Linked DNA regions of Astyanax mexicanus. The protein of the gene in region 1 interacts with the protein of each later gene in a biochemical or structural test. Links are inferred from orthologs where the notes say so. Each region holds a gene or a part of one and is shown on either strand. Other genes may lie near its edges.

Region 1 (12,738 bases):
ATATTTATGTTGTGATCGTAACACTAATTTGATATAACATTTCAATCTTTGGGTGTTGCATTTGTAACCCTGCCATCTTTTTGTGTTGTGTTCGTAACACTCCCATCTTTTTGTGTTGGGTTCTTAACACTCCCATCTTTTTGTGTTGGGTTCGTAACATTCCAATCTTTTTGTGTTGTGTTCGTAACACTCTTATCTTTTTGTGTTGGGTTCGTAACACTCAGATCTTTTTGTGTTGTGTTCGTAACATTCCAATCTTTTTGTGTTGTGTTCGTAACACTCCATACTTTTTGTGTTGTGTTCGTAACACTCCCATCTTTTTGTGTTGTGTTCGTAACACTCAGATCTTTTTGAGTTGGGTTTGTAACACTCCCATCTTTTTGTGTTGTGTTCGTAACACTCCGATCGTTTTAGATTTTGTTCGGAACACTTTAATTTTTTTGTATTTTATAACACTCCAATTTTTTTTTATGCTGAGTTCATAACACTCAGATTTTTTTGTTGTATTTGTAAAACTCAAATTTTTATTGAGTTATGGTTCGAACACTCAGATCTTTTTGTATTGGGTTCATAAAACTAAAACTAAATCTTTTTGTACTGTATTCATAAAACTCTTTTTGTGTTGTGTTTGTAACTGTCCAACCTTAAGTTAAGTTAGGAACATATTCCACACATTAATCCAGCTTCACTGCTTCTAATTTATTCCTCTTATATATTTTGGGTTTGCAAAATTCTCTTTTTGATCCAGATACAAAAAAAAAACAAAAAAAAAAAACAGAACAGAACACTCTAAGACTGGAGGAACACGCTTTTATTTTCTATTAAAAAAAAGAGAAGTCACAGTGTACAATAACATATAGTAACAACTCAATTTAAAGCAAACTGAATGAAACGCACAGGACAAAAATCAATCAAATATTAAGAAAAGCTTCACACAATGCTACAAATAAATAAATAAAATAGTTTTCCTATGTAACTAACCTTTATTAGTGTTATAATATTTAATCATTTCTGCACCCCTTACACAGTTCGTTGGTCACACAAATGTCTTGCGGAGGGGAAAATGAACAAACGTGGCAAAGAACAAAAAATATAAACAATAAATAACTATCAAAAACTAATTTGAACTGAAAAGCACTGAGAGTTTCGCAAATATTTTTTTTTACACTTTTCAGCCATGCACTTACATGCACATCATAATTCGATTACTGAAGAACATCCGAAGTTGATCAGAACAACAGTCTGATCATCGCATTTATATGTACTTTTTTTAAATCAGATAATGGGAAAACTCATAGCATTCACCTCAGTCAGCCACTAATCAGATTTTTTCTTTGTAACAGAAGATTAAACTCTCAATAATTAATAAGGTGTGATGTAAACCACTTGAAACCCAAACTTTATGTTGCAATGAGTCGCAATTTACACACTGATCAGCTAGAAGATGAAGAAATATTTAAATCCTTCATATTAGATCAGTTTCACTCAAACCTTAAACCTTTTAACGTTATGGCTGATTGGTGCATCTTGTAAAAAAATGTTTATATCTATTTAATAGTTATAATAGTTTTAGGGTTTTGTTAAACCTCTAAAATACAGAATCGAAAGATTTAATGCAGGGTTTGGGCGATATGGCCAACATTTATATCACAATATATTTTTTATAATTTCAGTCTGATATTAATTTGAACAGTATGAAAGCCACAGGTAAACTGGAAAAAATAAAAATACCGGCCATAACGGATGCCCTATAATGAAGGTCGGTCAGTGAATGATGCTATAAATAATATGTAACAGTATGTATAAATATCAGAAAAGTTAAAAAAAAAAAAAAATAAAATGTAATAAAATTCAGTAAAATGAATTAATATTAAAACAGATTATATAACAATCTATATTGATACTGAATTACTGTCCAGCCCTAAGGTTTGGTCAATGTTACCGTAAATAAATAAAAGCTACATTAAGAGCTCACTAGCTAGTCATGTTTGCATATTCAAGTTTTTTTTTTCCAAAGTTTAAAAGGTTCAAAGTTCTAAAAGTTCCTACAGCTATTTTGCTTAAATTAGCTTTACATTTAAATTCAAATTACCAACAAAGTACCCATCAAACTCAAGAATACTTCATGTCATTGAAAGAAATAGAAGAAATCAGTAACAGAATACAAAACAGAATACAATTGATGATACAGAATTATAAGCACACTCTTTAAAACAAAGTAAAAAATATATATAAATTAAGAGCTGGCGCAAAGGGTTCTTTTGATAGGTGGCACAGAAGAACCAGGATTAAAAACATATTAACATAACGTAAAATACATTAAATGTACCATTTTGAAGGGTTTTTCTGAAACCTTTGGGCCTCTGGACTTTTTTAACCTTTACCTTTTCGCTTAACCTTCAATAATTAATAATAAATAATAATTCTTCATGCATTCCATTTACAAAAACTACTTTCTAAAGCAAAGCTTCTCATACCTTTTACAGTCAGGAACTCGTTTTTATTACATAGATTTTTCATTAAGTGATAAACCCTAGAAACCACCTGAGATACAATAGTAACCATCTAGTAACGCAAGTGAAACATCCTGAAACCTGGGATACAGTAATAAAAAACTGCCTGGAACAAGTTGTTTCTTTTGGTTCTTATTCAACCAAACTTGATATGGGTTCCAAAAAAGAAAAGAAAAAAAGAAAATGCAGAACCTCTAGCTACATATCATGGACCCAACTTTGCTCTGAAAACCACGGTTCTAAAGAAAAACCTTTCAAAGGGTATTTAGTGGTTTAAGGCCACTTTCACACCTACCTTGTTTGGGCCGAACCAACAGAGCAGGTGTGAAAGAGCAGGTGCCAAGAACCACCCAAATTTGGTCTTACCAAACACTGATCGTTTTGAAGAATGTAGTAAGTTCGGTTCTTTTTTTTCCAGGTGTTGTGTTCTGCCTCACTTTGAGTGCTGGCACATCCTGTAGTAGGGTTAATAATCTAGTTACAGTAGATACAGAAATCACCAGCATCATCTGTTGTACTCAAATTATTCTATTATTTAATGGGTGACAATAGCCTCACTGTCTCACTGCCAACAAACTGGACCATCAATCAATTGATTCGCCTCTTTGAATCTCCAGAACATGGTTTATAGAACCTTTCACAGCTTCTATTTGGGTTTTGACCAAAAAGAAAAATCTGAGCTGTCGGATTGTGGCAAAGAAGCAAAATTTGGCAGAACATCTGCAAAGACAACTGGCCAAATTGACAAAAAAAATGCTGCTGTGTGACATTTATTTTCCTTCTACAAACCAATCAATGTCATGTATAGGGAGACTCAGGTTCTTTGCCCATGTAGGGGATGACAACAAGACATGTCAAGGTGTTTTTTGTTGGGTTCAGCCACTAGACACAGTGTGAAACCAAAACTAATTGCGAAAAGAGCAAATTAACCTTGGTTTAGACTTTGGTCTGGACCTTTAGGTTTGGAAACCTAAATCGCTCTGCACTTACACTGGCAAAACAGTGGTCATCAAAAAAAAGGTGGAGATATGGAAGTTTAAATACGATACTCAGCAAACCGAACACAGTTGATGAAGTCTGTGTTGCTGTGATGCGAAGATGTTTCTGGGGAGGTACATGTTAGGGGGCAGCGTAGGGTTGACGGAGAGTCATAAATTGGCCTTAAAAAGTGGCTCTCCTAAGGCAAAGCATTAAGATCTCTTGAATTTAATATTAAGAATGTAGTGTAACTATATCTAAAATTCTACAATAGAGGAAGATAAAAACTAAACATCTCCAACATGCCTCCCGCTACTCAATCTGCTCAGTCTGCTCCATCAGATGAGCTTTAACGTGTCTGTTACACGCGCTCCGGTCGCTGTAGCGCTTCCCGCAGGTGGGGCAGCTGTAGGGCTTTTCTCCGGTATGAATCCGGAGATGAACGCTGAGGTGGCTGGATTGTCGGAAGTTCTTATCGCAGAAATGGCAGTTATACGGTTTCTCTCCTGAGTGAACCCTCAGGTGAATCTTCAGCAGAGCTCGTGAAGTGAAGGTCCGCCCACACACCACGCACAGATTACCGTCCGATAGGCCCAGGGCTTTCGCTTGACTTCCGTACATTTCCAGCGATTCCGGGTCGAACTGCTTCATCTCCTTGCTCATGTTCCCCGAGCCCGGCAGGAATTCTACATCACAGAAAGGAAAACAACTTCAGCACAGTGGCAATAAAACGGACACTTTTTCTTTCACACTTAGCCAAAAGAAAAACATAAATGTAAATGTAAAAACAAGCATTCTTCCTGAATATATCCAATTGTTAGAAACTTGTCACATTTTTTAAACACATGCCCATATTTTTTTTCTCTCTTTGTCACTTGCATTTGTCTGATGTCACTTGTATTTATTAGTCATGTTCAAAAAATATTAATATATTTGGAAATATTCAAATTTCAATATGGTGCTATGATTGGTTTGATAGTGGTTTGAACCCAGGTCATGCTGCTTGCCATCAGCAGCCAGAGTCTGAGAGAGCACAAAAATGTTCTCTCCCCTCATCTCCACCAAGGTGATGTCTGTTAGCTGATGTAATGGAGCTGGGTTGCTGTGCTTTCCTCATGCATGCTGGGTACCCAATATTGCTACATCAATGGCAGTTGGAAAGGAGGCGGTGGCTGATTTCACATGTATTAAAGGAAGCATGTGCTAGTCTTCACCCTACTAGTGTTGGAAGCTGTACTAGTGATAGGACTAGTGAGTAGGTTGGGTAATTGGCCTGCCAAACCAACACTTCATAGCATTTTTACCTTTTAGCTTAAGTGTGTAGTATACATTTTGTTTTAAAAGAGCCAATAACAAAGTTTTATTACAAAAAATCTTCTTTGGCTTTACTCCGAGAACCTTTTTGTGTAACATATTTTTACACAAAAAAATGAACAAAACATGCAACTTAGCCAGGGTTTCCTAAACATAACATGCCTGTATCTGCTGATACTGATATGATTACAGCATTATTTTACTTACGTGTTGGCAGGCTTTCGTCTTCGTCCAGGACCACCACCACGTCCGGACTTGCGTCCTTTTTTCTCAGTGCTCTCGGATTATCAGTCCTCATCTCCAGTTTCCGTTCTCGTCCAAGTCTCGGAAGTTTGTTTATTCCGCGAGCACGTTTCATATGCGATCTAAAATCAACATTTGGTAAAACTCATTAAAATCTGTTGCATTAACACACATTTATTAAAATTTGACGAGAGCAGTTCCGGTAAAACTGTAACCCTTTAACTGCCACTCTTAGTATTGACACTTATATTATACTAGCCCAGGAGTCGCTGCACAGTAAAACAATGCACCACCTTTTATGTAATTAAAAAAATATATATATTTTGCTGCATCCCAAGAAGAAAGGCATATTTGGCAACCCTTAAACTACCAATCTCAGGGATTTAAATGTATAATTCAGTAAAAAAATATCTTAACCAGTTTACAGTGAATGGCTGAAGTTGTAGCACATTTTTGAACAGAGGACTAATGATGAGATATGGTTCAACAAAACCAAGTTTATTGCATTTTTACGCTACAAAATTGAATGCAAACAAAACATGGTAGACAAATAGACAGGTATGTGTAACATCACCCACATATGCAACTAGATAGCTGCTGTCAGCATACAGAAATGTACATACAATAAGCATGGAGAGCACAATATTTCCCAAAAAACTGGTTGCCGTATGATATGTAGCTCCGCCCATCTCTAAATGTTTCAGTGGCAACAGCCCCTCCCATTTTCCATCACATTTTTTCCTCTAAACTGTCTTTTCATCTCCATTGTTTATGACAGTTGGGTCTGGGACAAAGGGGCGGGCCTACCAAATGAGTAGGCGGGTCTGGCTCCGCCTCTGGTCTCTACTGGGCAGACTCTGGTAGCAAAACCGACAAACATGGAGGACATTTCTGGAATCATTTTTATAAAATGAAATATGACAATGAGGTTATAAATATTTAAATACATTTATGTAGGACAACAAAAAAGATGGTCACACAATGAGTAAAATAACATGACGAGCTGTTTCCTAGCATTTCCATAAATTAATAAAGAATTAAAGTTTACAAAACTATAGACCTACCCATGCCATATTTGTTTAATTATCATCTTTGCTAGGATAACTAAACTATATTGCCAAAAATATTCACTTAGAACACACACAAACTTTAATAATCTTTAGGGTTTAACATAATGTTGGCCCACCCTTTGCAGCTGTAACAGCTTAAACTTTTCTGAAAAGGCTTTTCACAAGGTTTTGGAGTGTGTTTATGAGAATTATAGACCATTCTTTCAGAAGCGGTTTTGTGAAGCAGATACTGATGTTGGACGAGAAGGTCAGCCACTCAGTCTTCGCATTAACTCATTCCAAAGGTGTTTTATCCGGTTAAGTGCAGGACTGGAACAGGAATGGGCCAACACCAAACTGTCTGCACTTATCTCTTGGTCTTTTGAAGCAATTAGGAGTTCCTTTCTATTGAACTAAGGTGCCGAGCCTAAATACTGACAAATAACGCTATACCATAATCCCCCCCCCAACCAAACTTTACACTTAGCACAATGCAGACAATTTAGACAAGTACTGTTCCCCTGGCAACCACCAAACCCAGACTCGTCAGACGGAGTGTGATTTGTCACTTCAGAGACCAGTGTCGGCATGCTTTACATCAGTGTCCAATGCTTTGCACTGCATCTTGTTTGGTGATGTAAGGCTTGGATGCAGCAGCTTGGCCATGGATTTTTTTAAATAAAGCTCTCTACGCTGTACTGTTCTTGAGCTAATTTAAAGGCCAGTTCAAAGGTCTGTAGTGATTGAGAGAGAGTGCAAAATGTTGGTGACCTGTGCAACCACTGACCCTGCTCTGTCATTTACATGGAATTTACATCACTGACAGGTGACTGTGAAATATTTGATAGTGAAGAAATTTTACGATTGGAATATCACAGCACCATGCTGAAATTCAGTGAGCTCTTGAGAGTGACCCATAGGCAGAGTTATATGTTTGGCAATATAGTCTATCTAGTAACTACCGCAGTTTCTATTTTGCAGATACCATAATCCATATAGTCATAAGATACACTGAATTAAAAAGTGATATATTACTGCATATGATTACCTCATTTCAGCCGTCTTTTTAAGGGTGGGCTTCTGAACCAAGCAATCAGTCCCAGAAGACAGAGCTGATTAACTGGAGGCCCTGAAAGATTTTCCCCTCAAACTAACTGTAAAACAAACAGAAAATAAATTAATTATATATAGTTGACAATAATGTATTAAATTACATAAATTATTTTGCTTATTATAAACAGCATTTCTACCTGCAAACATTGTTAAAATAATCAGGCTGATCAATTCTGATCTGGCGAGCCTGTGTACTCACAGCTTGGCGATATATTTTCACTAAATGTATTAATTCATAAATTAATTAATTGAATTAGGTGAATTAATGACTTAGAGCAGGAAAATAGCGAAACTGTGGTGAACTAAAGCCCATTTCACACATGCATAATCAGGCACAAGTGCTTTGTGTGTGTCTGGAATGGAAATTTGAGCTACAAGTGTTTTTTTTGTCTGTATATTTCTTAATTATCCTTTATATGTGTGTTTTGTTTTCAGCATTGGTTGGTAAATAGCTTTCTGCTCTGGGACAGAAAATTACCAGGCTGAAGTGACTGAAATGCCCAAATTTGCCCATGGTGACGTGCGTCACAGACTCTTTAAAAGGTATGTAAAGTTGCCTACAGCACACTGTCCGCCATCTCAACTCATGGAGTTCCTAAGTGAAATGTACTGAACATCCTTAGAGCATCTGTGATTCTTCATGTGAGCTTATTTACAGAATGTAGGAGTGCTGGTTTAGTGCTGGAGATAAAACTACATTAGCTAATTTGTGTGTAAAATGTATTTTATGCTTCTTCAGGTCTGTTTTAAAACATTAAGCACATCAAATGCTTTAATTAAACGGTTAAATTCCTTAGAATTAGTTATGATCTTCTATATAACTTGTTCCTAGAGCTCTGGATTCCTAGAAAAAAGGTTTAAATGCAAGTTACTGCATTTCTGTGTCATTTATATTTATATATTTTAGGATTTTAATCTAAGATTTTAATAGACACTCACAGCACCCGTGAATTGGACTTTAAAAAGGCTCTCTAGACTTGTATCTGGTGACTCCTGCTCTTTTCACTAAGCTGCTGTTTTTTTTCCACTACTCAGACCAGGTTTTTATTTTTCCTGTCTAACCCGTGACACCCGAGTAAATGTGTAAAGATCATATTTTATGGACAAAAGTATTGGGACAGCTACTTATTATTCATTGTTTCTTCTGAAATCAAGGGTATTAAAGAGTATACTGTATATTGCTTTTGCTGGAGTGACTACTCTACTATCCATACTTTACTATATTCACATTAACAGAAAGCATTAAATAATTAACAAAACAAAACAAGAGTGGTATCTTACATGTGTTGTCTGTACGCGGCAGGGGGCGGACCTCACAGCTGCCTCCTCAGCTGATACCGATGATGTTTGATGACACAATCAGAACCGTGCTGTATGCAATAAGTTTACACTCCACAGCGCATTTAACTTTATATTAAGGTAGGGTTTAATTCAAAATGCAGAGCTGCAGCTAGTACATTGCTTGGAAAGTACAAAGCGGTCCCACTTTGATCACTTCCTAGTTTCCATAATCTACACTCTCAACAGGGGTTGGACAATAAAACTGAAACACCTGAGAACCGTCAGGTGTGGGAGTGGGAGGTTTCATGGCTAAATTGGAGCAGCTTGGTGGCCAATCTTCATTAACTGCACATTGCACCAGTAAGAGCAGAGTGTGAATGTTCAATTAGCAGGGTAAGAGCACAGTTCTGCTCAAAATATTGCAATACACACATCATTATGGGTGACATACCAGAGTTCAAAAGAGGACTAATTGTTGGTGCACGTCTTGCTGGCGCATCTGTGACCAAGACAGCATGTCTTTGTGATGTATCAAGAGCCACGGTATCCAGGGTAATGTCAGCATACCACCAAGAAGGACCAACCACATCCAACAGGATTAACTGTGGACGCTGTAAGAGGAAGCTGTCTGAAAGGGATGTTTGGGTGCTAACCCGGATTGTATCCAAAAAAATAATAATCCACGGCTGATCAAATCACGGCAGAATTTAATGTGCACCTCAACTCTCCTGTTTCCACCAGAACTGTCTGTAGGGACAATCAATTATTGTGGTCTAAAACCAGGTGTTTCAGTTTCATTGTCCAACCCCTGTATTTTTTCAGCTCGACTTAGCATACAGGACACTTTGTAGTTTTATAACTGCAGACTGTAGTCTATCTACATATATCTGTTTCTCCGCATACTTTATCCTCCTCCTTTCACCCTGTTCTTCAATGATTAGGACCTTCATCAGTAGTCACAGGACACTGTCCACAGGACAATGCCCAAAGCTTGCTGTTCTTGGACTATTCTCAGTCAGCAGTAAAACTGAGGTGTTTTACTGCAGTGCTGAGAGTGACTCACCATTTAAATAATATTTACTAATTTTATATAGCTGACTATTACTACTACAACAACAAAAAAAGAATAAGAGTGTTACCCTAACCCCCAGGGCAACAATGTTCCACAAAGCTACTGAAATCAGGGAAAATATTATTGATACTTTATTTAATCAGTAAATGCAGAATTAAAGACAAAATCACAACATGCAACAATGCAATGTAAAAGTCGCTGAAGGACACTTTATCCTGACATTCCATAGAATAGGAACTAGTAACGTCACCATCCATCCATGCATCCATCAGCTGCTTTCAGTGAAATTCGCAAATTCAACAAATTCAACAAAATTTGCAAATTCAACAAATTCGCAGACTGTATTAACTGGTCTTTACACAACACTGCAGTGCTGTGCGTAACAGTTTTGTTAATCAATAGACCTATGCTTCTTCTGTGTTGCACTGTTCATTAAAATCATTCTATACAGATTCCACTCATTTAGACAACTCAGAATTTTAGTTAAAAATGTCAGATTTAACAATCTCTGGGCTCGGACTTAACATGCACAGGATCCGGTAGGGTCGGACCTGACTACTGCTGGCTAGTGCTCAATTGTGTAGGTTTAGTGTCCTTTACCTGGCATCCAAAGTGAGGAGACGAAGCAGACAACTCTCTAAACTGAGTACAATATTCATTCTACACAAAATTTAACATAATCTGAATTTAAATTCAATACACAACAGAAATACAAAAGTGCCAAAATCTTCAAGTCACAACAACCACCCCTGTTTTACATTACAGAGTCAACACTAAATACAAACTGTGACTCTACTGCTAACAGCAAAAACAGAGTAAAGACAGAAGATGCGATTGCATTCAAAAGATTACCAAATCCAGTTCTACATTCAGTTAAGCGGCATATGAAACTTCACAAAGCAGTTGCTCTGCCTGGTGAAACAAAGGTGTACATTACATTTCATGCACAGAACTCTGGGTATGCCTTTGCATCCAGGAAATTTGCATCTTCCTTTCTTGCCACTCATGGTCGGCCAGTGTGACGTACAGTCCAGGCGAACGTCCGAGCACCGGGCAGACGCCGGGCATCGACTGTGCTCTATTTGGGTATTGTCTATGTGCTCATTTCCTTCCAATTCATCCCAATTTTGCCTGTAGAGGAATCAGCATGTCACCAGATTCTCCTAATTATAGCAAAGTTTATTAACTCTACCAAATGCTCAGCACAGACAGTCCGGGACAGAGTTGAACATTTATTGTTGACTAAGGCAAAGGAGCAAAAATAATGCATGTATTGCAGCAAAAGTTGGCTAGCAGTTTTGTTATGTTTCAAGCAGGTATGTAAATGATTACAAGTGCAGTCCGAGTCTCAGAAATTACTTTTAGGTAGTATACCTCTTGGTAAAAGATCCAACTGTGTTTAATCTTGTATCCAGACTAGAGGCGGAGCAACATTTACATACATACTATACTGCCAAAAGTATTCGCTTGCCTGTAATGTGTTTGGTGATTGACCTTTTTTTTTTTTTTTTTTTTTTACTTCCGTGTAATATGCCCCTCAGCATCTGCTGACCCCACTCTCTACATGAAGCCTCTAGTACCACATACAGTGGTAATTTATAACTAAATTGTAGGGCTGGGTATCATCAGTGATTTACAAAATCGATTCAGATTCACAAGGCCCCAATTCGATTCAATTTCTGATTTAATTTGAATCGTTTTATTATTGATTCGTTTGGAAATATTTCCATTACAATTACAGGTTTTGTTCAGACATGAAAGAGATTTTTTGAGAACTAAAGTTGTAATTGTACAACTATTATTAAACACATTATTGTTTTCATAAAGAATTAAACCAAGACAGTACCTTAATGTACCTTAAATGTCTCATTGAAGGTGGAAAGGAAAACAAAGGAAAATGCTAATTCGTTTAACTACTCTAACAAGCTCTATTAACATTGGTTCCGAGAAACAATACAACTTGTTAGCTACTCTAAAACTACAGCATGTCTAAACCTGCCTCATTTAAGGTGGAAAGGAAAACTCGCATTTACCGACTCCTCAAATTGCTAGTCAAGCAGGCTCTAATAAAATAACGTGAGAGAAACAACAAAACTTGTCGCTAATGTTAGCTTGGCATCTGTAAATCTGCATGTTTTAAAACTGCTGGTCTAAACAGGCCACATTTAAGGTGGAATGGAAAACTAAGGAAAAGGCTTACATATTTAACTAGTCTAGAATGCTCTGGTAACATAGACTGAGAGAAAACATAAAACTTTCTGCTAACGTTAGCTTAGCCTCTTTAAAATTACAGCATGTCTTACAACTACTGGTTTAGACCTGCCTTATTTAACGTGGAATGGAAATCTCAGGAAAATGCTAACTCGTTTAACTAGTCTAGAAGTTTCTGGTAATATTGACTGAGAGGAAACAAAACTTGTCGCTAACGTTAGCTTAGTGTCTGTAAATCTGGAGCATGTTTTAAAACTGCTGGTCTAGAAGGGCCACATTTAAGGTAGAATGGAAAACTCAGGAAAATGCTGACTCATTTTAGAAGGCTCTGAGAGTGAGTGAGAGAACACATAAAACTTGGCACTAACTAACTAACTTCTGTAAAACTACACCATGTTTTAAAAATGCTGTGCCAGACCGGCAGTATTTAAGGTGGAATAGAAAATGCTAACTTGTTAAAACTAGTCTAGAAGGCTCTGGTAACACTGAGTGGGAGAAAACATAAAACTTGCCGCTAAAATTAGCTTAGCTTCTCTAAAACTACAGCATGTCTTGAAACTACTGGTTTAGACCTGCCTCATTTAAGGTGGAAAGGTAAATTCACATTTATTAACACCTCGATTAACTAGTCGAGCAGGCTCAAGTAACATTGAATGAGAGAACAATAAAACTTAGCGCTGACGTTAGCTTAGCTTCTGTAAAACTACGCTGTATTTTAAAACTGCTGGTCAAGACCGGCTGCATTTAAGGTGGAATGGAAAACTCTTGCTTGTTTGTTAAATCCAAGTGAAATATCAGAAATTTACTCACACATATTGTTTACTAGTCTAGTAGAGTAAATTACTTTAAGTGAGAAAAAAAATTTAACTTTTAGATAGCGTTAGCTTAGCTTTTTTTTAACACTACAGCATGTTTTAGAGCTGCTGGTCTGAAACAGCTAGCTCCAGCTCTGCAGATAGATGAC
Region 2 (12,851 bases), on another chromosome or scaffold:
GGAAGCCATATGTACTAATAAAACGACCATATTTACTAGGGGTGGGAATCTTTTACTATCTCACGATTCGATTCGATTCCGATTTTGGGGGCCACGATTCGATTCAAAATCGATTTTTGATTCAAAACGATTTGATTTATAAAAATTTATTGAAAACTTATTGAAAAAAAAGCCTCCAAAATATACACTGGTCCTGGAGAAGGTAATGTGTTACAAAAACAATAAAATGTGCAGGAATGTGGGTCCTCAGTGACAGAGGAATCACTGGGATATCACAATGACGTTAATGAACAATAAATAAATAATAAATAACACTGCTTTATTACCAGGCTACTAGCGGTGGTGTGTAGGTGACGCTGCTGGGCTGATGTGATGATAGCAGTGGAGCGCTAAAGTTCAGGAGCAGCTGCTGATTAACTAGTTAATTTTAGGCCGTTGTATTTCTTCAGAAAGGGGGCAGGAGGTGGAGAAATTAATTCATATTGTCCATTCCTTAATTCCTCTGTGATGAGGAGCTGAAATTAGCTCTGATTAGCTTATTGTTATTTTTCCGTTCCGCCTTAAATGCTGCAGCCCGCTGCCACCTGTAGCGTTATTTAAGGTGGAACTGGAAAGTTAGCTAGTTAGCTAGCTAACAGAAACTGAAACTAACTACTAGCGATCTTTTTTATGCTTGTTATGAAGCATTCTGCCATAAAACATTAAAACTACACGTTAATCTAAGGTAATATAGTGCTTGTTCTGCCATCTTACCGGTGATTCTCATACACCTACGCTCTGTGTGGGTCTGACGGTAAGTTCAAACTGCAGCGGCCACGGTCGCTTTGGGCAGTGGGAGGCGGAGCGAAAAACGCTTCGTGCCGCTGCAGTGTGAACTTACCGTGAGGGGTAGGGCCAAGGGAAGAAATGGGATTGGACCTTAGAATCGATTTTGGGACATTTTAAATCGATTCTGAATCGTAGTAAATGAGAATCAAGATTCTTATGTGAATCGATTTTTTGGCACACCTCTAATATTTACAGACTATAAAGTGCAATGTAGTCACACTATCAATGAACGTCTATTTTCAAGCAGAAGGCTTAAAAAAATTAAGTAACAATAGTAAGGAACAAGAGTTCCGCCATGTTTCCCTTCCAACGTAAACAAAACTTTAATTCTTAGAGAAAAAAAAACAACAAAAAAAATGCGCTGGATGTTGGGTGAGTAAAGCGCTTCCGTTTATTTACAATATTTTCAACAGCAGGGTTAGCAGCAGCGCTTAGCGCTAGTAAATGCCGCCTGACAGCGCTACACTGAGGAACACCGAGTGTTCCGGTAACCCAGGGCACTCTTAGCTAGCGGTTTGTTCCATGGAGCTTGTTTTAACACAGTAAACACGCAGACTACAGTCCGATACTACCCTATGAACAGTGAAAGAGCTAGCGCGGCTGTTAGCCGCTAATGCTAATACTGCTCCAGCCTTAGTGCTGGAGAATAACTTCACTGAAACTCCTGTATAACTCTGTACTTCAGCATAGTGGCTTTACTTACTCCTTCCCTGAACCCAACTGGTAGAATTTATACACAAGGCGCACTGTTTAGGGTTTTAGGATTTCAAGGATATTAAGTACGCCTAATGCGAATAATATGGTAATTAAATTGTTACAACCCTTTAATTTATCCATGTTTCTGTGTTACACCCACGCAATAATATCACGAGCTGTGTCTGTTCTTTATGCTGGATAGTTACTTAGTTCAGTAGCGACGTCGTCCAGGCAGATGTCGTTGTTGATGGCTGGATTCGGGTAGTCTGGGTATCGAGCCAGAAACTTGTGGCAAAGCAAACCGAGACTCTTCTCCTTCCGGCTGAGATGCAGCTTCTCTGATTCCTCACCCAGCTCGGGCTCCTGTGTGGACAAAATACACACCTTTAACATCCACACCCAAAATAAAACGCAGTGTCAGGGAGACATTATCATATCCTCTCTTTACCTGTTACACAGGCTGGATTCTAGAGTTAAGCTAAAGTCTAAACCAGGGGTTCAGAGTTTACTGAACTTTTACTTTACTAAACTTATATATGAATATATTTGACTAACAATGAGACAATAAATACCAGAGTAATAAATAAAGTTATTTAGCTTTTGTAAAACGTGACCTAAAACAAGGTCACAAATGATTTAAAGAGTTGAAATAGAGCTACTATACATTACTCATCTTATGCGTTACTTCTCTTATGATCTTTAATGTGCCACACGGCGCTGAAGATGCAAAACTGTGGCAGAATTGTAATTGTGTAGGAAATATAGTCATATAAAAATAAAGTTTAGTTTAGTAAAAGTGAACTTCAGCAAAGATTTTAATATAAAATATAGGCTGGGGAGTTTCGATGGGATCATGAAGTGTTTAGAATCCTAAAAAAGGGGTCTCACAGTAAAGAAAGATTAACAACCTCTAATCTAAACAAAGACATCCTGCCCTGTGAAATACCCTCCAGGACTAAGTTTAATAAACAAGGCTTTAGAAGACAGGTTAGAAATGGTTGAAGTACCTGAGAAGAGCATTCTGTTTCGTCTGCCTTTATGTTGTCTGCACTTCTTTCCTTCTCACGGTTACGTATCTCGGGGCTAGCCGCACTGATCAGCATCTTTAGATTAGAAGTAGGGGTCCAGGGCTCCCCTGTAGGAGCGTCCGGGCCTTTAGTGGGCGTTGTTAGGGGACCCATTATTTTCAGATTTTCCAGAGGGGCAGATTTCCCCGAGGTTTTCCCGGGTGTCTGCGGTTCCACAAACACACCCGTTTTCTGTAAATAATGAAGCCAGAGTTCGGTTGTTAGTGCACAATAACAATAACGGAATTTTTAATGCAGACTGGCTGGTTTATACAATAAAAAGTAAGGGCAGGGCTGCATACTGTAGGCTAAAATGAAGATAACAATCAGATAACTAAACATTTAGCTCAATATTAAATAACTGCCTGAACTATTATCAAATAGAAATATATCTTTAATCAGGGGTTGATATTTCACAGTTATCCCATTATATAAAATAAACAGTCAGAACAATTCTGTTACTATAAATTAAAACTTGGTATGTTTAATGTTTCAAGTAAGTATGAAGGAGACTTTATTGCCATGTACATCACATGCGGAACATGGGGTGGAACAAAATTGCTTTCTCAAGGTCCGGTTTTCCCACAACAGAGCAGTTATTATGAAGAATATAATAAAATATAATAAAGAAAAGCAAATATGAAGTAAAGAATAAATTAGAAAAATAGTTTTTAAAAAGTGTGTACCATTATTACTTTTTTCCCATTTAATATAGTAAAGAACAAATGAGTTTTGACTAAATTGTATTTTTTTTTTCTTTTCTGGAATAATTTTCAGGAACAGTTAAATCATTTATTTTCTTTAGATTTTCTATTTTTTCCTCTTTTGCAGAATATTAACCTGATAATTATTACACTGACCCACGAATGATGGAGATGTTACATAAAAGTACACAATATTTATCTAAAGAGTGTGGATTTACAAAAGTGATGATTTTTGACTAAGGGAATGTTCTTTCCTTCCACAAACTCTGAATATAATTCTCTTCACACACAGTCACTATACACAGCCATTAGCAGCTCATCAGCTCATTTACTGACCTTCTCATTAGCTGCTGCTGATTTGTTGGGGCTCGTTTGGGGGAGCTGGGTTAAGTGCTGGCCGTTTAGTAAGGTGCTGGACATTTTCCACCTACGTGTGTTGAGAAAGAAGAATTGATCGTTAGGAAAAATACTAGTATTAATCACTTATAACTAACATATCAGTGCCATTATTAGCAAATCTGAGATTTTAAATAGAACAGGGAAGATAACTGTATGAGTTATCTAGGTTACAAACAAGAAATACCTTTTTTTTACAGCGTTATATAACCTGGGAGAAAGCATCGTGCACCCCTATGAGAACTGAATTAGTTCAGGTTTATTAAAATCTTATATAAAACTGTTTGTATTTTTCGTAAATCAAAGTTATTTTGATTTCAAATGACCGGGAGCCGACTGGCGCTAACTGACACCCGATCCGACGAATCACGCAGCAGCACTACGCGGATGCACACGCCCTTCCACTACAATCAGCCAATTGCTGACAGGGCACGGACACGTGAGCCCGCCCCCCGCGAAGAAGCCAGCCAATAGGTGCGCGACAAAGGGCGGGTTTTCGGACAGTCGCGCGCAGGCTCTCACCTTTTTAAAATCTTGGCGCGGAATTTCGCAATCGGAACGGAAGAAGATATTAGCGGCTAAAAACAGCATAAAACAACTAAACTAAAGCATATATTGGCGCAGATTAGATTGTACTGCTAATAAACTCGATATTTAACAAGAAATAAGCGCTTAAACTGTATTAATTTGTACAAAAACTAGTGGTTTGGAGCCTCGCAGAGCGCAGGACACCAGAAACACAGCAGCTCAAAACCAGGATAATAAATACCTGCAGATAAGTTCCGTACAGATCTAAAGTTACTTAACTAACTGCTGAGCTAGTCAACTAAAACTCTACTAAATATAACATAGCTTACGTAACTTACACTGCGGTATGTTTATTATTAACCAGGTATAAATATCGAAACGAACTGCTAGCGTTAACCTAGCTGAGTTTTTATTAAACACAGAGAGGCGGTAACTTTTATAATGTTAAAATAGCTTTAAAACGCTGGATCCTACAGCAACAGCCAGCAAGTTCACTGATAAACTAGTTATTACTGAGTAGTGAAGCTAGCTAACGCTATCTAGGTTAGCTAGTAAGTAGTTAACGTAGTTGTTTAACGTTACTCCGCAAATGTAATCTAACCCAGCTAGTTAGCTAGCTTTACGTAGTTAGGTTAAATAAAACTTTGTGTTCATTCTGTGTTACACAGATAGCTTAAATAGCCTTACTAGCTAACTAATTATAAGTTACTCCCTTCTGTAAAAGCATTCATAGGCTAGCTATGGGTGACTATAAAGCTCTTTAGTATGTTTTATATATAAACTAGCTCGCTAGCTTATTAGGTTAACATACCTGAGTCAGCAGTAGACTGTACAGGAGAAACGGTCCGACCAGAATGCAGGAAAGAAGGCAAATTAATCCATAAGAACGGCAGATAGATTCCACCTCTTGTAGATTTAGCTCAAATAATTTAGTGCAAGAATATCTCCGCAGATTCCACACAGGTAACTCAACCTACAGTATGTTAGATCAGTCCTCCAGCTGTGCTTCTCTGTACAGCGCTACAGTAAAGCTGGCTGTAAATAAATACGGATTTCTCCAGTTTTAGTGATTTTCCAGCGCGCTGAGGGTCCTGGTTCGGTTTTCCCGGGTATATGAAGGTCCTGGTTCGATTTTCCCGGGTATATGAAGGTCCTGGTTCGGTTTTCCCGGGTGTCTGTGTATATGTGCGCGCTCCTTTGCCCGCGTCCCGCTCTGAATTTGCCGGGCAGATCTGACCCGCCCATAACTCCGCCCACACCCCGCCCCCACACACGTACACGTACACCCAGAGGATAAAAGTACATATTTACTAAGTACATAAAGTTCTGAACAGGGTCGAGTGTTGTGTCCAGTTATGTCACATATCGATATGTGCTTCTTTTAATGCTTCCTCATGTTTTTAATGAATGTTAGTTATTATGCATACATTGTAAGTTAATTACATTTCTTTTTTGTGATATCAGTTACTTTGCACAATAATTTAACATTTCTTTGATAAAACAGGTTTATATTTACTCTACTATTATTTATTTTTTTATTGACCAAAATTATTGATTTGAAAATTAGCTGGAAAAAGACATTTCTACTAAATGAACAGCATTAAAGTTCAACACAGACAACACTGAGTTAGCAGCTCAGAACCTAATGCTGGTTTTAACAGCAGACAACTAGTAATACATACACATAATATATCATCTACACGTTTACATAAGGTAGCTTAGGGAATGGCTACACACAGCGTCAGAAACTGTGGTACACGCCCAGTTTGTATAAACATGGTGGCAGAACAGAAGTTGAATCAACTGAAGCTGCCACTGGCAACAGAATACATTCAGTTATTATAAAATAATTCAACTCATGTGAGTTATTGTGAATACATATGTGGCTGCGAATGTTTACCAAACTCAAAGTAGTTGAGCAATGTTTGTAAATATAAGTATGATATGACATAACACAGACTTACTTCATTTGAGCTCAAACAAACTGTGGGTTTATAGTGTAATAGTTAACTATATATCCTTTTAGGGTGTCGTCATTTTTTCTGTTTTCATAAAGTACAGTGCATCTTTAATCCAGTGTGTGGGAGCAGGAGCATTTTTCCCCCAATGCATCAAAATGAGCCACCTCGTTACACAAATTAAAATGCTACCAATGTGGATTTTTTTGTGTTTAGATAGAATGAAAGTAGCTGGAAGAACTCCTAACACTGTGAGGACTGGAGAGAGATCAATGTGCACTTGCAGTAAGTATAAAAGGGATATAAATATTGAGCTCTACCAGGATTTGTAATAAATAATTCCAGAACATATTAGAATGATATACAAATTGGGCGGGGCCTGATGGTATCTGTCACCATTGTAAATATTGAGATTTTTAATGTAATCTAAAGTAAAAATTGCTGTATGAGTAAAGGCTTCAGTACAGATGAGAGATATAACTGAGTATATTTTAGGAAGATGGCCTAATCTGTGTGTGTGTGTGTGTGTGTGTGTGTGTGTGCGTTCAGTGCTCTGAAAGATGAACATATATAAGAGAGGTCCCTGAGAGCCAGAGGCAGACAGAGAGCCAGGCCGAGCCTCTAGGGTGATTCTGGACCTCCTGTTCCGCTGGTCTGTAAGTACTGTAGTCACTGTTTGTGTAAATTTGACTGATTACTTTGATGTTTTAACAGTAAAGTTTATAAAATATAACATTAGTTGCTTAATTTCTCTCTTAGTTAGATTGTATTTGCCTATTTAGTACCATTGTATTTGGTACCTCTTTACACATGTATTCCTATTACTGTTTGTAGTCACTTTTTGATTGATTGACTGGAATTTTAAACAGATAAGAGTTATGTTTTAAATGTGAATAGCTTTAATTGCATTTACACTTAACTGTAATTAACCCTTTCAGACTCTGCATCCATTACAATCCATTACCCTCCATTTATGTTTTGTTGCACATAACACTATTTGAGAGCTGTTGTGCAACAGAATAGACCATGAACCAATAAAACAGTAAACCAATAAACCAATGAAATAGTAGCCTGGTAGTACTAGAGCCATTAAAGCAAAGTAGCTGCTAATTTAAATGGTTACTAATAATCATGTTTTATTTTTTACTGTTTAGGGATGGTTTATGAAACAAAATAGTTAATATGAAATACCAAATATTACACAATAGGATTTATTTGCTGTATAGATTTTATAGTAGAATATTAAATACTTATTTTCTGTGCACTACAGACAAAAACAGCATTCATACATTTTTACATCACTGGAGATAATTCAGGTCTGAAACCGTTCATATATTAAATAATACCAATAATATTATTGAATGTAATAATATGGATAGTTTAACTCTTAAGAGGTAAATTGTTCAATAGGTGATGATGACTGAAGCTCTAATCACCATCACACTCACTCAAACTCAGATATACTGAAACAGAGGCCAGATCTGTGAGTGTGTGTGTGTGTGTGTGTGTTTTTATCAGCAGTAGCTTCATTGAAGGAACTATTTCTGGATGATTATCAGCACATTCCACAGTGTTGAGGCAGAGAGCAGAAACTCTGACTCACAGTAACAACATAATATATATTTATATTTACAAGACAGCTAATGTCTTGTATTATATCAATCCATGAGTTAACAGTGGATTTCTGAGCTTTATTGATCCTGTCAGTACTGCATTCTAGGCAGGATATTTAATAAAAAATATTAGGTGAGCCATCAGTAATCTTTAGTAGAGTAGAAAAATGATAGATCATCATTTAACAGCAGTAAACAGGGATACGAATCGAGTGTGATTGCATTGATGATGGTAGAGTCTGACCACTGCACAAAGCAGCGCTTCTCCATCCAGCACATCCCAAAGATTCTCAATGAGGTTAAGATCTGGACTCTGTGGTGAACTCTCTCTCAATCCATGTGTGATAAATGATGATCTCCTGCTCCCTGAACCCTGAACTCTTTCACAATTCCAGCTGTATAAATCCTGATATTATCATCTTGGAATATGCTCGTGTTCATCAGGGAAGATAAAATCCATTGATGGAATAACCTGGTCTATATTCAGTATATTCAGGTAGAGTCAGCTGACCTCATTCTTTCAGCACATACTGTTACTGAACTCCAAATGGAGACTTTTTTTGGCCAGGCTCTGTTTTCATTTTACTGTTCTTGTGATGTTACCAAAAGGTTGTTGTAAATCAATTAGGATTAATTATCATAAATTAGGATTAATTCTCATTAAATGATAACGTTGTAGGTGTAGCTTATAGTTTATCATTATTTAAAACTGATTTAAAGTGATAAGATGAATAAATAAATACACTTCATTCATAATGTCTTACACCACATTTCACAAAGAAGTTCATGTAAATAAATCCTGCAGAGGATTATTTTTTTATGTTAATGCATACAGTGCTGTTATCTGAGGATGCTTTTATTTCTGTTCTGATTCCTGTAGATCTAGTCCCTGATCCGAGGATGCCGAACTGGGGCGGGGGTGCTAAGTGTGCAGCCTGTGAGAAAACCGTGTACCACGCTGAGGAAATCCAGTGTAATGGGCGGAGCTTCCACAAACCCTGCTTCATCTGCAGTGAGACACGAGTTCACCTTTTTATACAAGCTGTGATCCTACAAAATCCTGCATAGTCAGAGCTAGGAGTGGGAATCACAGGATATCTCAAGATACGATATTATCACAATACATTTCCCATCATAACGATGATATCACTATACTGTGTTTCTGTGATACTCAAATATTACACTTAAATATTACAGTACAATTCTCTACAATATTCCGTCTTACTGAATAAAATACTCCTACTGGATAAAATACTCCTAAATAATTAAATTCCAGGAATTATGGATTTATTGGTGTCAGTTTTTACAGAACTTGATAACGAATATGACACAATGCACAACAAAGTGCAGAGCTTAGCTTGCTCACATCTCTTTAACACACACACACACACAAACACACTCACACTGACCGCAACTGTTCCATGTCTAGGTATTGTTATTATTATTATTATTATTATTATTATTATTATTATTATTATTTAAACAAAAATACATTACTGCAAAAAAAACTCTTTATTTAAAACCAAAAATTATTAATACAAACTCTCACAGGATAAAGGAGAAAGAAGAGGAAGTCGGGCTGATGTGGAGAAGTTTATCTGCTTACAGTTAACACTAATTTAAATTCACTGCCTAGCAAAATAAAAAGCTCATCACCTGAATTTAACTAAGCAAATAGTCAAGAGTCTCCTATTGAATAATTACCGGTACTGCATGAGTGATTATGTTTCAGCTGGCAACAAGTTATTTAACCCCAAACTGATGCCGTGAGTAGCTTCTCATTTGGTAAACAACCATGTAAAAAGACTCATCCTGTTGTCATGGAAAAGATGGTATCTTGTTTTAGAAGGACCAAATTATTGAAGTCAAGCAGAGAAAACATTTAAGGAGATTGCTGCAACTAAAATATGGTTAAGAATTGTACAATATTTTATTACAAAGTGGAAGGAGAGTTGGGAAGAGATGTGGTGGAAAAAATTCTTGAATGATTGTTATTGGCGATCACTTAAACGTTTGATGAAATATATGTTATGATGATATGTCTGATATGTTTAATAGTGAAAGTAAGAGCAGGGCACGAGTTATGGGCAATTTGTAGGGGGGTCTAACCCTCTGATTAACAAGTAACCCCCCCTTGCAGCCTCAATCTTTTGTATGTACAGAACTTCATGTTGAACAGATATTAATATTGCCTATATGGACAGCAATTTAAAATCTGAGTTGGTAGATTTAATGCGGTTGAAAATTTGGGTGCAGCTACCCTTTGTGCTGGTGGGCCTAAGAAAAAAAGTTACGACCAGCTGCAACCAGTGCAAAAAAATATTCTAGACTCCACACTAGCACCTGCACTACTCATGTCACGTAGCTGCTATCTGTTGCTTCAGGTCACATAAATTCACTCACCTTAAATGCTGCTAAGGCGACACACACACAAAGAGTTTCAGGCTGAAGGTTTTTTTTAGAGATGTTTGAACCTAACATCTGATAAACAATAAGTAAGATTTCAGGTGTAGTTTCATTTGGACTGTTTGTAATTTCTGCACAAAAAAAGCAGAAATGTATAAAACTTTTAATGCACTTTACTACTTACACCTCACAGCTTTTTAAGGTGGAATTGGAATTGTTAACATGAAACAAAAAACTTGCCGTGAATCAGTACACACTGATTTATAACCTTAAACATAACATTTTTTTTGTTTGTTTGTTTGTTTGTAAAATTAAATTTTCAGGGCATGAAAACTACTGACAGACTTAGATTTTTGTCTGGCATTGGTCTTTAATGTAACATGTACAGGTATTGATTGTGTATGGTAGCAACCAATAGCATTGCTTGTGTTTTTGTGGGATTGATTAGCTGTTGAATTTGCTGTATAATATATTGTTTATGACAATAAACTTCAGCTTCAGTTTGCTAGAGATCATAAGGATTAGAGAGCATAAGAAATGGAAGAAGGATCTTGTGAAGGTCTGATGAGTCCAGACTGACCCTGTTTCAGAGTGATGGAGCATTAGGGTAAAAAGAGAGGCGGCTAAAGTGATGCACCCATCACGCCTAGTGCTCACCATACAATATTGGAATATGTGTGATATTTGTGTTTGGCCAGGCCGTATACTGGTATATTGATCATTTATTTGTAAGTAAAGGTTTCAGCTGCTGTCTGTGTAAATGTTGCGGTGGGGACTGACAGCCAAGAGGGTAAATGGGACTGTTGGGAACATCATACAACACTAAATCCCCTGCAGTTATGTTTGCTGTTCTTTGCTGTGGAGCATTTGGCACTGTGGGATTCAGTCGCTCAGCTGCCCTTAATCCCATCCAGCCCAAAATTAGCCACAGAAGCTAGCATAAAGTTCCCTGGCTAAGAGCAGGACAGCTGCAGGACACAGTGAGGTCATGTTTAAACTCCAGCATCTTCTGTCTGATACCAGCAGAGAGAGTCACTGTCCAGGTTAAATTAATTCCGGGTCAAATTAAACGTTCAGTTAAAGCACAAGTTCCAAAGGAATAAAAGGTAACGTACTCAATCAGAGAAGACACAACTAATAGGTGCAGCTTTACTCTGTGCACTGTGCTCCTCAGCTAACAGAGCAAGCTGTTGTTCCCAGTCTCTTCCGCTGTGTTATTATATCACAGTTGGCTGTGGAATATTTAGTAGTGAACAAATATTTCAGGACTGGACTTGTTGTTGAACAGGTGCTGCCTCCTATCACTGTACCACAGTTCTGGAGTTCACTGAGCTCCTGAGAGCCTGAGACCCATTCTTACATTAATGATTGCAGAAGCAGTCCCAGCATGCCTAGCTGCTGCTTTTATTATTATACACCTGTGATCATAGAAGTAATTAGAACCTGTGTTTAGAGTTTTAGATGGGTGAGAGAATATTTTGGTGTTATAGTGTATCTCTGTCTCTTGTTTACCACTTTACCATCAAAAGAGGATCTTAGTAATGATGTTCTTACTCTCCTGTGTTGTGCGTCTCAATATACCCCTGATAATTTGTTTGAAACCCTTAGCTGTGCCCAAACATTTAAAGGCCAGTGTATTTGTATGTAAATAAACAGCAGGTTTCAGCTGTTGACTATGTGATCGGTGTGGAGGGGACTGACAACTGAGAGTAACACAGGACCACTGGGAGCGCTACGCTATGTTAAATCCCCTGCAGTTAGCTTCCATTCAGGGCCCTGTAGCCATGGAGCATTTGGCACTGTGGGACTCGGTCTCTCAGCAGTACCAATCCCATCCAGCCCAAAATTAGCCTCAGAAGCTAGCCTTAAGTTCTCTGGCTGAGAGCAGGACAGCTGCAGGACACAGTAAGGTTATGTTTAAACTCCAGCATCTTCTGTCTGATACCATCAGAGAGAGTCACTGTCCGCCTGAGAGGATCATCTCTCACAAAGGCCAAAGGTCACTTTATAAAAAAAAAGGAGCACTGAATTATTTTGACAAAAAATTAAATCCCACCACTTTCTTCTCCATATTTTACTTCAAAAGGTAGTTAATCAGTTAAGACAAGTCTGAACTTCTGTATTCTGATTTTTCAGTAGTAGTTTTATTGACCTTTTTTCATTCTAAACATAATTTTATTTATTAATTCATTCATTTCACTCAGCGTTACGTTCAAGCGTTCACTTACACTAATGTATGTCTTGTCCCAGTAAATGGAACAATAAACGTTTTACAAATAAACTAAAATAAAAACTTTAATGCAAATATTAATATATCCCTTTTAACATGTTAGCAGGCTATTTAAAAAACACAAACCACAGTTCTTTGCCAGGTGTGTTTCTCAAAAAAATATAAATGTAATATGTAATAATAATAATATTCCATATGTAAAATATAAACACAGAATATATATAACAGCACTCTGAATTACAAAAAAAATGTATGCTTCACAACAACAAAAAAAATCACACTAAAGGTGTATTTTAACTAAGATATATTGTCTAAATAAAATATATTTGGTAGTGTAAATATCCCTATAATGCATGAAGTCCATTTTAGTGGTCATTCATGTGGTTAATTGTAATTTATAGCTAACAGAATATAAATATTTGTAC

What was found.
Region 2: the proteins of myog (region 1) and csrp3 form a complex in vitro, tested with the Homo sapiens proteins (2 studies listed by BioGRID and IntAct, with this or other methods). The link is inferred for Astyanax mexicanus from reciprocal best matches to the Homo sapiens genes MYOG and CSRP3.

What each region holds. Positions count from the first base shown.
Region 1 is NC_064431.1:20,020,467-20,033,204, forward strand, and holds the start of myog (myogenin), read left to right. Parts: upstream 1-7,645; 5' UTR 7,646-7,753; intron 7,754-8,491; exon of another isoform or gene 8,492-10,417; intron 10,418-12,738. Other genes in the region: zinc finger protein 205-like, read right to left, coding at 3,804-4,177, 5,013-5,170, 7,146-7,150. UniProt on the Homo sapiens protein: Acts as a transcriptional activator that promotes transcription of muscle-specific target genes and plays a role in muscle differentiation, cell cycle exit and muscle atrophy.
Region 2 is NC_064423.1:341,273-354,123, forward strand, and holds the start of csrp3 (cysteine and glycine-rich protein 3), read left to right. Parts: upstream 1-6,356; 5' UTR 6,357-6,462; intron 6,463-6,726; 5' UTR 6,727-6,833; intron 6,834-8,670; 5' UTR 8,671-8,690; coding exon 8,691-8,802; intron 8,803-12,851. Other genes in the region: transcription factor E2F8, read right to left, coding at 1,731-1,887, 2,532-2,783, 3,632-3,715. UniProt on the Homo sapiens protein: Positive regulator of myogenesis. Acts as a cofactor for myogenic bHLH transcription factors such as MYOD1, and probably MYOG and MYF6.